3 linked regions of the Caenorhabditis elegans genome follow. The protein of the gene in region 3 purifies or fractionates together with the protein of the main gene of each other region. This does not show direct contact. Each region holds a gene or a part of one and is shown on either strand. Other genes may lie near its edges.

Region 1 (4,622 bases), on a different chromosome or scaffold from region 3:
ATCTTTCAAAAAACACGAATGACTAAAACTTTCTATTTTCTAAAAAAAAAACTACTTTTTAAAAAGAATATCAAGAATTCCAACAAAAAATCCAAAAATCGGATTTTCCCCAAAAAAAACCATTTTTCTAGAAAAAAATTTCAAAATACAATTTCACACCAAAACTACCGAACAATCTTTTATTTTACAAAAAAAACGGAAGAAAAAATCACAAACCATCAGAAAAAAAAATTTGCAAAAAAATTAATTTTAGCCAAAAAAAAACTAACTATTTAATCCTCTTCACATAGAAATAAAACCAAGAAAAAAAATTTTTTGCTAAATATAATACCGAAAAAAAGTCACAATCATACATTTTTCAAAACAAAAACATAAAAATCAACTTCATCAACAAAAATTCCAAAAATTCATTTTTGCCAAAAAAAAACCTATCAGTTTAGCTTAAAATACTTAAAATATAGATTTTTCCAATTTTTTTAATCCAAAAAAATCAACAAAACAACTCCAAAGTACAAAAGAAATTAGAAGTACCATTTTTCTATTTATTGTATAATTTACAGTGACGATACAACTCGTGATTGGATTCTCGAAGAAGTTCCAATAGAGACTCTCATTCGACACGTTGAAAAATCAGATGAACGAATTGCTCTTTGTGCACTTTCACTAATGAATTCAATGATAAGAAGATGTCCTGATGATGAAAAACGATTTGAACTTATTAAATCTTTAGAAGTCGTTCCATTCCGTAATGCTGTACACAGTTCTCTTCTACGTGGTGGTGGTGGTGTTCGAAATCTGAATGCTATTGAACAACTTGTTGAGGTTCAAAGGAGTCTGATTAGTGCATATGAAACTTCACCTCCTACTGATGCTGAAGTTCAGAAAATTCTTGATATTGAATCCAGTGAGGATGTTTCCGAGGAGATCAGAGAAATGTGGAAATCACAAATTGGGGAACACCGATGTGGACGGTTGGCTGCAATTTCGATGGTTCAATTTGCAGAAAAAAGTCCGCAAGATCTGAGAATGCTAATTTCGGAGAATACAATGAGGATTGAAGGAGGAAAATGGCAACTGATTCCAATGTGGATGAGGTTTTTTTGCAAACGTAAAGATGTTCTGATGATTTTTTAAATTCAGGTGCTGTGACATTGCCGCAGAATTGTTCAGAGTAATACCTGGTCGTGATGAGTTGGATCGTTTGATTGTAGTTCTCTTTTCCACGGAGACTCCATTTCCAGCTGTATTCGCATGTATTGTACACCTTTTCCATCGAACATGGCGTGAGATGCAGGCAAAAGGAGGTGAAATGGAGAAAGTTGCGTGTGTTGTACTGGAACAGTTACGGCATGTGCTGAAAAGACGGGAAATACAAGATGTAGAAGAACTATCTGCGGATTTGGAGACTTTTTCGTATAGGGCAATGCAAGAAATTTGGAGAGAGGAACAATTGGGAAAGGAAAATATTCAATTACATAGTGAAGCTGTGATGTAAGTCTGAAAATTCCAATAACTTATTCGTATACATATTTTCAGACAACTAAAATCGAAATTGCGGCCAAAAATGGAGGAATTGGTTCGAATAAATCATCTAAACTATTTGAAGTTAGGCGCCGTTTTTCGAAAACCACAGAAAAGTAAATCCCTCGCAAAGCTCGCCTTCTGGCATTGGAAGCTCGATGCATCGGAGAAAATGCTCACTATAACTGGATGTGATGGTGAGAACTATGTGGAAGGTGTGCAGAGAGATGATATTCGGCAAGGTTGGGGGAATATTGAATTAGTTCTCAAATAATAAATTAATTTATTTTCAGTTTGGATCAAAGATATTGCTGATGTAACAAATAATGATGAGATTGATAGAAAAGCAAGCTCATCTCGATTCACTTCTTCTCCATCTACACAAATGTTAAGAGGGATTCGTGTACAATTAAAAACAACAAATGATATGAAAGAAGGCGAAGTTTTAATGGCATTGACATCCGATGAAACTCAATCTGTTATATGGCTTGAAGGTCTTGCTGAATTGATTGGGAGCAAGGCAGTTAAAAGGTATCTAGACATTGGTTACTGTAGTTACAGTAACCTGAAGAATAGGAAGCCCCGAAAATACCAATTGAAATATTTTCAGTGAAACCGATGCAATGGTTGAACGAATGCTGAAAATGGAGCTACGAGTTCGCCTTCTCAATGTGAAACTCACGAACCCCGAGGAGAAACCAGAAATTCCACCGATCCCTGACGATATCAAAAGCTTTATTTCAAAGTTTTAATCATATTCAAGCTTTATCATTCTTACGTGCATTTTACCATATTGAAAGGCAAAACATTTCCATGTGCATAATAAATTTTGTAATTTATGCCTATTACTGTGTATTTAACTTAATTTGAATAACGAGCCATTAACTACAGGCCACTAACAGTTTTCTGAATCTCTTGAAAACAAATTTTTGACCAACATTTTCAGATGAGTGCTATAAAAGAGGTAAAATCAGAGCTCAGGCAGTTTATGAAGACATTGCTCGGAAAAATTTCGAAAGAAGAAACTCAACGTCAAACAGAGGCGGTTTTTGAAAAAATAATTGAATCGAAATGGTTTCAAGAGAGCAAGAGATTGTCAGTTTATGTTAGTACATCGGGAGAAATACAAACTGATTCGATTATTCAAAAAGCGTTGGAAATGGGAAAAGAAGTTTTCATTCCACAGGTAAAATTTATTTTGAAACAGATGCGCAATAGATGTTAAGATGTAGGCATGTAGGTAGGCACATAGGCAGGCAGAAATAAAGCAGGTAGGCCGACAAGAAGTAGGCAGATATGAGCTATGAATAAAGGCAGGCAGGCACGTAGCCAGGCAGAACTAAGGCACTTGCGAGGTAGGCGTAAAGTAGGCCCCTAGACATGAAGGCTGTAATCGTTTGTAGTAGGCAGGCAATTAGTACCTAGGCAGATATTATATATGAATCCAGGGAGACAGGCACGTACAGCAAGTATAATTTATTGAAGTCACAAATGTAAAAATTTCAGTTCACGAAGGGCTCAACTGCAATGGATATGGTTCGAGTTCCGGATCAAACTGCTTTTGACAATCTTCCTTCAACACTTTGGGGAATCAGACAGCCAGAACCGAAATGGAAATGGCAAAGCTATCATGAAACAGGTGTGACTGCTTTTTAATAATATAACTCCAATTTATAAGTACTTACAGGACCACTGGATTTGATCCTTGCACCCGGCGTTGCCTTCTCACCATATGGACTTCGTTGTGGTCATGGAAAAGGATATTACGATCGCTTCTTCTCCACTCATCACAAACATTTTCCAGAAAACTCCCCAAAAAAGATAGGATTGGCTCTTCGTGAGCAAATTATTGGTACAATTCCTATTTCTGAAACTGATGTTGAACTTGATGAGGTTATCTATGAAGGAGAAACTATTATTTTTGATACTATTTAAGGCTTCACACTCTAAATAATATTCCCGATTGTGATATTGAGATTTTTTTTTAAATTTCTCTCGCCAATTTATAAGTGATTTTTCAGACATTCCTCAAATGGTTTTGTGATACAATTTCTTGCATTTGTTAACTGAATAAACTTTTTTGAACTACAGTTATATATAATTTTTTCATAGATTATTCAGTCATTAGTTAGAAGCATTCTAGCCTTCCGAGGTGTTTCAATTTTAGGTCCCACCACGAAAACTTGTGGAGATGTTCTGAAATGCCCCATAGAACTGCATAGCATTGTCCCAAAAGCCTGTAAATATATCTGAAAACTTGCTCACACAAAACGAAAGGATTCAAAGGCCTGAAGACATTAATTAGCAAAAATTAGATACATTCAATGGTTTCACTAATATCACACAGTTCAGATAGACCGAGATGAGGACTGATGTAGTTAAATCGATATATGATAGAAGCCCTGTAATTTACATGAAGAGCAACTACACGAAACTGAACAAAAATATTCATTTAAAGTCAATACATAGTAATCATTGTTCACTCTCAAACTTGTTGAACACGAGGTCAATTTTGGTCTCCCGATCCGCACTGCAAATATTATTATTTCAAAAAGGTTATCATGATCAACATACCTTTGCTTTTTCTCCCTTGCTTGACGAGTGGTCACTCTGACTTCGAATCCCTGGAAAGCTTGAAAGGTGGAACATTATCATATATCATATACTCTACATACCTCTGCTCTAATAGCTCCAATTCTACGGCTCAAGTGTTTCCAGCAACCTTCATCAAAAGCCAATCTCTTCTTCATTGTCCACATGAATCCATTCGAGTGTTCAAATGCATTTTTTGCGTGAAGAACTGATTGAGCAGGATCTCTGTTTTCTCCAGCAAGAAGAAAAGCAAAATGTGGATTGGTTTCATCGAGGACGAATTCTTGCTCTGCTTTCGAGTCTTCTTTTTTCTTTTCCTTATCTGGAGATGCCATTTCTTTTAGTTCCTTTGAATCACTTTTATTTCCACATGCAACACTTCTATCTTCTGACATTGTCTCATTAATCAATGGTTTTTCAGGTTCCTTTTCCTCCTTCTTGATCTCTTCCGCCAAAACCATCTCAACACTGTTCAATTCCTCCTTTTCAGATTCCAAAGTAGAAGTTGA
Region 2 (3,980 bases), on a different chromosome or scaffold from region 3:
CAATTTACAAATAAAAACTAATTCAGGTTCAACGACATCAGCAACAATTTCAAGTGCATTTGGAGGGAATGTAACTTCACATACAAGTATTATTTTAGGTATCAAATTTTTATAGGTGACTTTTACCTCAAAACCTTCAAACTCATCAGGAGGGACAACATCTTCCGGGAAAAATTTCTCGCAAAATACAACGTCTGCAGCAAATGGAACAACTCAAGCAGTTAACAATGGCAAATCTGTAAGTTATATAGAAAAATCACTGGAAAAGCCAGGAAAAATCAATTTTCAGGGCTCAACACTTCCAACCAATTCATCTTCTGGATCTTCTGATTCATCAACATCACCATCAACATTCACAGTTTCTTACAACAACACAAATTCCTCTATCACTTGCATCGAACCATCCCTGAACTTGACCTACACTTCCAGTCCAACTTCTTCACAAATCAAAAGCAGTTATTCTGTCGGAGAGCTCATCACTCAAGTTTGCCCGCAATCTTATGTTTTTGAAATTGCACTGCAACCTGTGAAGATCTATAAGTGCTTGAAAACAGGAAAATGGGCAGGATCACCAGAGAATTGTATTTGTAAGTTTTGAAGTATAAATTGTTTAAAAACAAATGTGTGACTTTTTCAGATGGAAAGAGTGAACTAAAATTGCCAACAAGACTTTAATGATTTGTTAAAATTTTAAATCTATGTCCGGAAATAAATTAATTTGTGTTACTCTGAGAAACTTGACAATTAAAGTTTGTGAATATATTGAATACATCGGTAAAATATTTATTTAGCTTAGGCACCGAAACGCCTAATTTTAGAGGCGTAGGTCAACTTAAAGGCAAGTAACTTGTAGTGCACTTTTGTTGTTCAAAATATTCTGAAAAATGTTTAAATGTGATCTTTTAGGGTATTCAGACACAATCATTATGCATTTCGGTTCCAATTAATGGTTTTTTCTTCATAAATTTCAGTCAAAACTTGGGAAAAATATTTTTTTTTAAATGAATGTACTGTGAAGTTTAGTATTTATTTTATTACTCATTTTCCTATTTTTGAAAGAAAAATATATTTTATTCCAAATACTCAATAAACAATCCAAACTCCGCCAGTAGATCTCATGATACAACCAATATTGTCATATTTATCGGATTTCTTATCAACTTTCCACATTTGAGAAGAAGTGTCGCATACAAGAGACGCCGAGATTGAAGATGAACCTTTTTTGATCTCGAAAAAGTATATTTTTAAAATTCAAAAAAGTTTTCTCACGACTAAAGGCTTTGTATCTGCCTGTTCCGTTAAATTTCCAGAAATTCCAACTGCAACATATCCACTCCCATTAGTGTCAATTTGACAAAGCACTGAAACTGGTTCAGAACATTTAAAGTCTTCTTTTGTAACATTTGTCATAGCGGAAAATGAATAAGCCGGGAATTGGCAACATTCTGGAACTAATAGATATAGTTAAATTAAAAATGTTTTTATGTTTCCTACTTTTTCCCAAAATTGAAACAGGAAGTGGTAACAGAACCAAAGCGAATAAATAATTCATGTTTTTGCAGTGAATTTTCTTCAAAATTTTGGTTTTATAGCATCTATTTGAACACATTCTATTATGGAATTTGAAACAAAAAAAGCTGACGCACAGCGATGACTAATCGTGTTCAAATGAAAATTATTGAAACGAACAGATTGAACAGAAATTCAACGGAAAAACAAAGTTGAACTTTCCATACTGAAAATTTTTAAAACATACATAAATTCAAACTTTCCTCAAAACAAAATTGGAGTTCTGTTTATACAAGTGCTCTTTACTGTAAGCATATTTTTTTGCGAAATCATACAAGTAATTAATCGGAATGCATTTTTCCATATCATGAATTTGAAGGAAATCTCGCCGCACCTGCTGCTGCAAATCGGTGAGCATTATAAAACCTTTTGCGTCCAGTGGTCGTAAGTCATACATAACAAACCGACCACACCTCGTTTCCAACACACAATCGGATATACCAAGTTTAGACAAAGAGGATTCAAGTCATTGTATTATGCCTTTGCCAATGAACAGAGAAGAGATATCAAGCGGCCTCTTGTGGGTTAAATGTAAACCATTTGAAAACGTTTTAAAAGCTGAAATTTTGAAGAGAGCAAAAGAATGAAACTTGCAAAATTCATTCATTAAATAAGATCAAGCAGGGCTCTATGGATTGTACTCGAGGGTTTTCTTATCAAGCCTTCTTTGGGTTGAACTCGGTTGGGAGTGGACCTCTACCTCCACCAAATTTGGTGCACTTTTAAACCTAAACATTTTTAACAAGAGAAAAAACAACGAGCTTTCAAAATTCATTTATTGAGCAAGGTCGAAGAGGGCTCTATGGGTTGTACTCAATTGGAAGGTTCTTGCGACGAACCATACCGTCTCCTTGGAACCATTCACGGCGGAATTGCTTTGCAGCTCCATCCGGGGTGTTGGTCCACTCAACAGTAATACGGTCGTTGTTAGTGTCCTACTGTCCAAAGGCGAAGGCATCACAGGAAACAGCAAGAAGGACTGCTTCCTTTGGGTCCAAAACTCCACATGGTGGATCAACTCCAAGTCTCTTCATATTGGTGGTCTTGATACCGTATCCAATACGGCGAGCCGAGGAGTTGATCACCTTGATGTGGTAGGTGTGCTTGTCATCGTATGGTGCATTGAAGACGATCTTCGTACCCGGCTGGGTCTGGATATCTCCTGGTGGGACGGATTGGGCACTGGCGACTTCTTTGTAGAGTGTGGAAACTTACAGTGAAGATTATGGTAAACTCTGCTCAATTTATAGCAAATTTCTCTCTTATCTTTGTCCCAGATCTTTACAATAGCCACGTCACATAAAGTTCAGAAAGTTAATAAATTAATTTAATGATTTTTAAAATCCGTGAAAGAGTTAAATTTTAGGAATGATTTTGAAAATATATTTTTAATCTATTGCCGCACAGGTCTTTGGCTTCAGCATAACTATGCATGAAAAAACATGAAAAACCCATCTTACTCTGTTCGGCCCTATCAAAAATCTCTAAAAAATGTTTCACTAGATATTTTTCAAATTTTTTGAATATTCCGACAAGAAAGCATCTCATTTCATATCTTCAATTTGACGGAAGTTTAGTTATAAGTTCCAAAGTAGTTTTAAAGTTCAAGGCAAAAATTTAATCGGATATTAATATGACCTTTTTCCTGTTTGTAAACGTTTGTTTTTCAAACATCTCCTTTTTTCAGGAACTGATCTTTGGGTTGATAACACATTTTGAATTTTCAAAATCCAAATCCTTACCATGATATTCAACGAAATTCTCAGCAAAAAAATAACCAAAAATAAAAACTCAATTTTTGATTCAATTTAACTTTTGAAGATTTCAGGTGATTTTATTTTCAGGGTCTTATATATTTCCCCAACATCTTCCACCTGCTAAGTTGGCTAACCAATTTCCTTTTTTTCAGTAAAAAATGTTGATGCCCACGCCTTTTTCCTCATTTCTCAATTCATCGTGAAAGCGGTCCCAAGAGATATTGGAGCGTGTATTCTCAGACAAAATTAAGTTTTGTTCCAGACGAGGCGGCACAAACTCCATTTTCATCACACGTTTTTCTGTCTCACAAATATTGCAGTTCGTTGTGTATTCTCAAATTTATTCAAAAATCAAACCACAAATATTTGATTCAATTATTTTCATACCCTTTGAAAGTTGTACAATTTATTTCGCAATTTTTTGTATATCTAATTGAATAATCTTTGGACCTTCTTGATTTTTTTCCAGCTATTTAATTCAATGCAGAACACTATTTGATTCTTTTTTCTCAAAGACGCAAAAAATGCCTGATTGTCTTGAAGGCTGCTTACGCCTCCTTCGTGCCTACTGCCAAATCATAAGCAAGCTGAACTTTCAGTAAATTAATTGAACTTTTTGAAAACCTTGAATCTACAGTGTGCCATTACCAAACC
Region 3 (4,742 bases):
CATTCTCGGGGATTTGTGTTCCTGTAATATTTTGTTTAGAGATTATGAAGTTAAACCAAAAATCATTTCTCAAATATCTCTATTATTTCAGGTTCACCAATGCTGAGAACATCAACTTCCGACTCTCCATGGTTATGAAGACAGGACAATACGTCCTTTACGAGCAGAAGCTGAAGTCGCTTCTCAACGAAAATGCCAAGCTTGTCATCAACACTAAGCACCGAGGTAAAAAATTTATTTTAAATATGGCTCATAATTTAACGTTTCAGAATTTTCGAATTGGAAGGATCCGTCATGCTCGTCATAGCTGGAGTTCACCACTACAACGGAAACAAACACAAGCTTGGCACTGCCCTTGGATTTCCGCTATCTCTGCACCTTCACTTTCGAATATCACGGACAATTTTAATATTTTTTCATCATTAATATATTTTAATGTACATAAAGAAGTACCGATGTCCTATTTTTGTCTAATAAATTACTTTGTACTCAGAAGGAAGAATCTCAAATGATTTGGCTTTTTCAAATGGATTTTTTAAATTTATTTAGATTCAGAACCGATCAATACGTTTCGACTATCTGTTGATAAAGTTGTCGTGTTGGTGAATACTGGAAAGTGGGCTAACCTTTCCGAACGGCTTTCCTCCTTCGAGATCGGCCGCGTTGTTTGAAAAAGTAGAGCCTGAAATCCGAGTCATTGAATGTTGTTTCTTCGACAGAATTCACACAAATTTTATAAAAATTAACGAGTTTATAAGGATTTTTTGATTTTTGAGCATTACGAAAGCAAATTGAATCGAATTTGTCTGCAGTTGCATCTTCTTTGAGCATTTTTCCCTATTTCAGAAAACTGTTGGCCAGGCTGTTCCGTGAAATCGTAATGAAACCATAAATTAAGCATTGATATCCATCCGAAATTGACCATATTGTAGCCAGACATGCGAATAACAATTAGAAACTATTTTTACATGCACAGAGCGTTAATAACCGAAAAGAATATAAAAAATAATTTTTTTTTTCTAACTTTCGAGTGTAATTGTTGACAATTTTTGTATCAGCGCGTTCAGTTTTTCATTAAAAATTCCCAAAATGATGCAACAAACAGTTTTTTTCCTGCTTAACATTTGATACCTAAAATGAAAACGTAAAAACACCGTTTCGAAGAGAAATTCAAGTCACAAAAAACCATCATTTTTTTCAGTGCAAAATAATTCATGAAAATAACAAAAATGCAAGTGCGCGCTAATGCAAATTTCCATCGGAGGAGACTGTGCCATTGACCAACTCAGTCAATTTCAATCTTCTAAAACGCATAAAGTTTTTTTATTATGTTTTTACTCCGGAAAATAAGACCAATGTTCAAATATTTGAGCAATATTGACTCCTTAATAAACCTGGTTGACGAATTTTTAAAGATGAGTAAAAGAAAAATACATATATTTTCACAGAGATATTTAGTTAGTACCAGCGAATCAAAGACTAAATCACAATAATATATTAGCGCTAAAACAGGAAAAAAATGATTATACTGAATCAGAAATCGCAGATCGATGAAGAGCCGTGGATTTTTTGAGGAGAGTCGCCAGCACAATCGGGTCCATTTCTTCCGGATTATAAGCCATTGCAGCTTCAATCTCATCGATCGTGTTGATTTTCGAGATACAAACGGTCTGAAAATCAAAATTTATTTTAGTTTTCAGGAATTTTCAAAAAATAAAATTTTACTTTTAAATTCTCCAGCTGATATTGGTTAGCCATTTTTAACAGCTCTCTCATCGATTTCATCGACTTTTCGATCAAAAACTCCTCGCATTTTCGAATTGCCAAGGTAACATCGAGCATGTGGGCAAGTAGAAGAACTCCATCGATGGTACCATCTGAAAATTTAATTATTTTAATTTAAAATCAATTCAATATCTAACCATCAATCGCAGGTTCTCCATATAGAACCTCCAAAAGGCTCTGAAAATCGGTCGGATCGATGTTTTGGAGTGTAACCTCTGATTGATCGGCTTCTTTGAATTTTCCAAGAAAAAGTGCATTGAAATATGAAGAATGAGACGCCAGGAACTGAAAAATATTGAATATTGAATGGAAAATTCGATTGTAAAAAAAACCTACTAGTTTCAAAACATAAAACTTCTCGTCTCCAACTACAAGGATCACATCGGAAAATCTTTTTTCTGATTCATCGAAGCTTCTGAGCACATCTTTCGAGAATCCTGTCATTTTTGTGATCTTCACACATGCTTCAATAGTAAAACTATTATCGTATAGAAAATCTTCTGTCAATGAGTCCCAACTGACAAAATCATTCCATCCCAGTCCAAATCCATCGAAACATCCCTTTTGGAATTTCATTGCATAACTTCCTGATGATGAAGCTATTTTTAAGCTGAATTCGGCGTCGACTGTCCAGGCGACGTTGTCATCTTTCTCATTGTCACAGTGTAGGTACGCTTCCAGTTGATCTTTCGTGCGAATAACCAATATAAACCTGAAACTAAAGATATTTTATGTAATCTATGACTTGGATAAGACTTACCATTCCGCATTGTAATGAATTTCTTCGGGGCTTTTAAAAAAATCGCCATCTTCCAATTGTGAAACATCCTTGAAAGTGTGATGAAACACGAATTCCTTGCTTGCGGCGACCATTTTGAAGAGTTTGCTGAAATTAAACATTTTTAAAACTCAAAAAGTCGAAAAAATCAAATAATTTTTAAATTAAAAGTCATTTGTCCGCTAGAAAAACGATAACTTTGCAAAGTTTGACGAAAAAAAAAAGATTACAAAAAATCTAATGTGCGTAAATTAGAATGCATTATGTTCATTGCGTACTCTCTCATCTACCGTAGTTCGCTGACTATTTGTTCGAAATGCAGCATTTATACTATTTACCATCGATAGATCCTTCTAAAACGCATAAAGTATTTAATTATGTTTCTACTTCGGAAAATAATGCCAATGTTCAAATATTTGAGCAATATTGACTCCTTAATAAAAAAAGGAGTCAATATTGCTCAAATATTTGAACTTGCAAAAGTATATACAAATATTTGAACTTGCAAAAGAATAAACCTGGTTGACGAATTTTTAAAGATGAGTAACAAAAAATACATTTATTTTCACAGAGATATTTAGTTAGTACCAGTGAATCAATGACTAAATTTTAAAAAAATTAAAAAAGCTAATCAACTTTCCGAGAAATTGGACATCTCAAACCTGCAGTTTCTTTGCGAGGTACTGTAGAAAAGATATTTTCAGGTTTATATAATTATTTCTAAAGTTTCAAGTGTTACTAAGGTATTATTTGGAGGCAATCAATGAAGCTTTACTACCAATCATCCAGTACATATTCACACTTTGTGGCCCAGTTTTACAGATTCTTATGTTCATTAGAAATCGACGATATAATTTTTTAGTGTGACGTAACTCAGTTCACTTTTTTATAACTACATGGTATATCAACAATCTTCTTTTGCATCTGGCACAGTGAAATATGTGTCGTTTCACAAATGTCCTTCAATTTGTGAGGTCCTCTGTGAAACATAATGACAGATCAATTTCATCTCCAAAAATCAAAGCAAACAGATATGTTACTGTAGAAAAATTTTCAAGAAAAAAAAATCAAAAAATAGGCTAGCAGTGTGTAAAAAACAATTTTCGAGACAAAGGTTGAGATCATCAAATCCCAAAGAAGCAAAGGAAGAAATTGAGAAATAATCAATAAAAACAAAGACCCGTCGAAAGGGCGTGGAATCCTTTCAGGTCGTTTAAAAGCAATATATCACCGATGAAGAATGCAAAAAATCAAAGGAAAATGACAAAAATGGGAGCAAAACAATGAAAAGCGACCGGAAACGAGGTAAAAAGAAATTCAAATTAGATTCTGACCAAAAAAAGTGAAAATCAAGAAGAATGTTGTTCATTTTGCTCATCTTGATTTGATTCTTCATCTGATTCATTGCTTCCACCTTCTCCTTTTGCCTCTTTTTTGTGTTTCATACGACGATTTTGGAACCAGATTTTTACCTGCAAAAAGTTAATTGTATCTATTAAATACTTATTTATTAAAACAAAACAGATTATTCACGTGGTGTCAGGCTGTCTCATTGCGGTTTGATCTACGAAAAATGCGGGAATATTTTCCCAGAAAAATTGTGACGTCAGCACAGTCTTAACCATGCGAAATCAGATCAGATGTCTGCGTCACTTCTCCCGCATTTTTTCGAAGATCAAAGCAAAATGGGACTTTTTGACTCCACGTGATTATTCTACTTTGCTTTTTTGTTATCTAGATTATCAGTAAGAAACTACAATTTTTGGTTTTAAAATTGTGTTTGCAATAAGAATTTTCGAAAAAACCATTAAAACTTTTTAATAGAAAAATTATTTTAAAAAATTGAAGAATAATTCCCTATTCTTGTTTAAAATAAATCATCATTCATTATGCATTAAATCTGTCGGTAGTTATTACACGTTCTTATGATAATTTAGGCTTGAAAAAATTCGAGCCACCTCAAAAAAATTTTGGAATTTTCTTTTGGAAAAGACTAGAAGTGAACAAACTTTTTGTCAATATTTTGAGTGTATGAAAAATAAAAAAATACTATAATTGTTCTAAAATGTGTTCAGAAGTCTGACCAAGAAATTTTGGTACAACTGTTGTTATTTTGTTTATTGCCATATAAACTAAAATTTAGAGTTGCGTGGGTTTTCCAAATTATACAAAACATTAG

Evidence for each region.
Region 1: the proteins of bath-15 (region 3) and Y106G6E.4 fractionate together in Caenorhabditis elegans (co-fractionation; one large-scale study listed by BioGRID). This does not show direct contact.
Region 2: the proteins of bath-15 (region 3) and F59A6.12 fractionate together in Caenorhabditis elegans (co-fractionation; one large-scale study listed by BioGRID). This does not show direct contact.

Annotation. Positions count from the first base shown.
Region 1 is NC_003279.8:10,220,624-10,225,245, reverse strand, and holds Y106G6E.4 (putative 5-formyltetrahydrofolate cyclo-ligase), read left to right. Parts: upstream 1-2,467; coding exon 2,468-2,707; intron 2,708-3,027; coding exon 3,028-3,160; intron 3,161-3,208; coding exon 3,209-3,456; 3' UTR 3,457-3,604; downstream 3,605-4,622. Other genes in the region: ced-12 (Cell death abnormality protein 12), read left to right, coding at 561-1,094, 1,141-1,491, 1,537-1,763, 1,815-2,052, 2,132-2,273. UniProt on the Caenorhabditis elegans protein: Contributes to tetrahydrofolate metabolism. Helps regulate carbon flow through the folate-dependent one-carbon metabolic network that supplies carbon for the biosynthesis of purines, thymidine and amino acids.
Region 2 is NC_003280.10:5,010,505-5,014,484, forward strand, and holds F59A6.12 (C6 domain-containing protein), read right to left. Parts: upstream 1,575-3,980; 5' UTR 1,553-1,574; coding exon 1,495-1,552; intron 1,446-1,494; coding exon 1,270-1,445; intron 1,228-1,269; coding exon 1,084-1,227; 3' UTR 1,019-1,083; downstream 1-1,018. Other genes in the region: F59A6.3 (Sushi domain-containing protein), read left to right, coding at 27-70, 116-238, 290-587, 638-675.
Region 3 is NC_003281.10:7,773,357-7,778,098, forward strand, and holds bath-15 (BTB domain-containing protein), read right to left. Parts: upstream 2,678-4,742; 5' UTR 2,659-2,677; coding exon 2,546-2,658; intron 2,504-2,545; coding exon 2,122-2,503; intron 2,071-2,121; coding exon 1,923-2,070; intron 1,878-1,922; coding exon 1,726-1,877; intron 1,671-1,725; coding exon 1,524-1,670; 3' UTR 1,321-1,523; downstream 1-1,320. Other genes in the region: ZK686.1 (uncharacterized protein), read left to right, coding at 129-225, 270-307; Homeobox protein mab-5, read right to left, coding at 3,913-4,035. UniProt on the Caenorhabditis elegans protein: Probable substrate-specific adapter of an E3 ubiquitin-protein ligase complex which mediates the ubiquitination and subsequent proteasomal degradation of target proteins.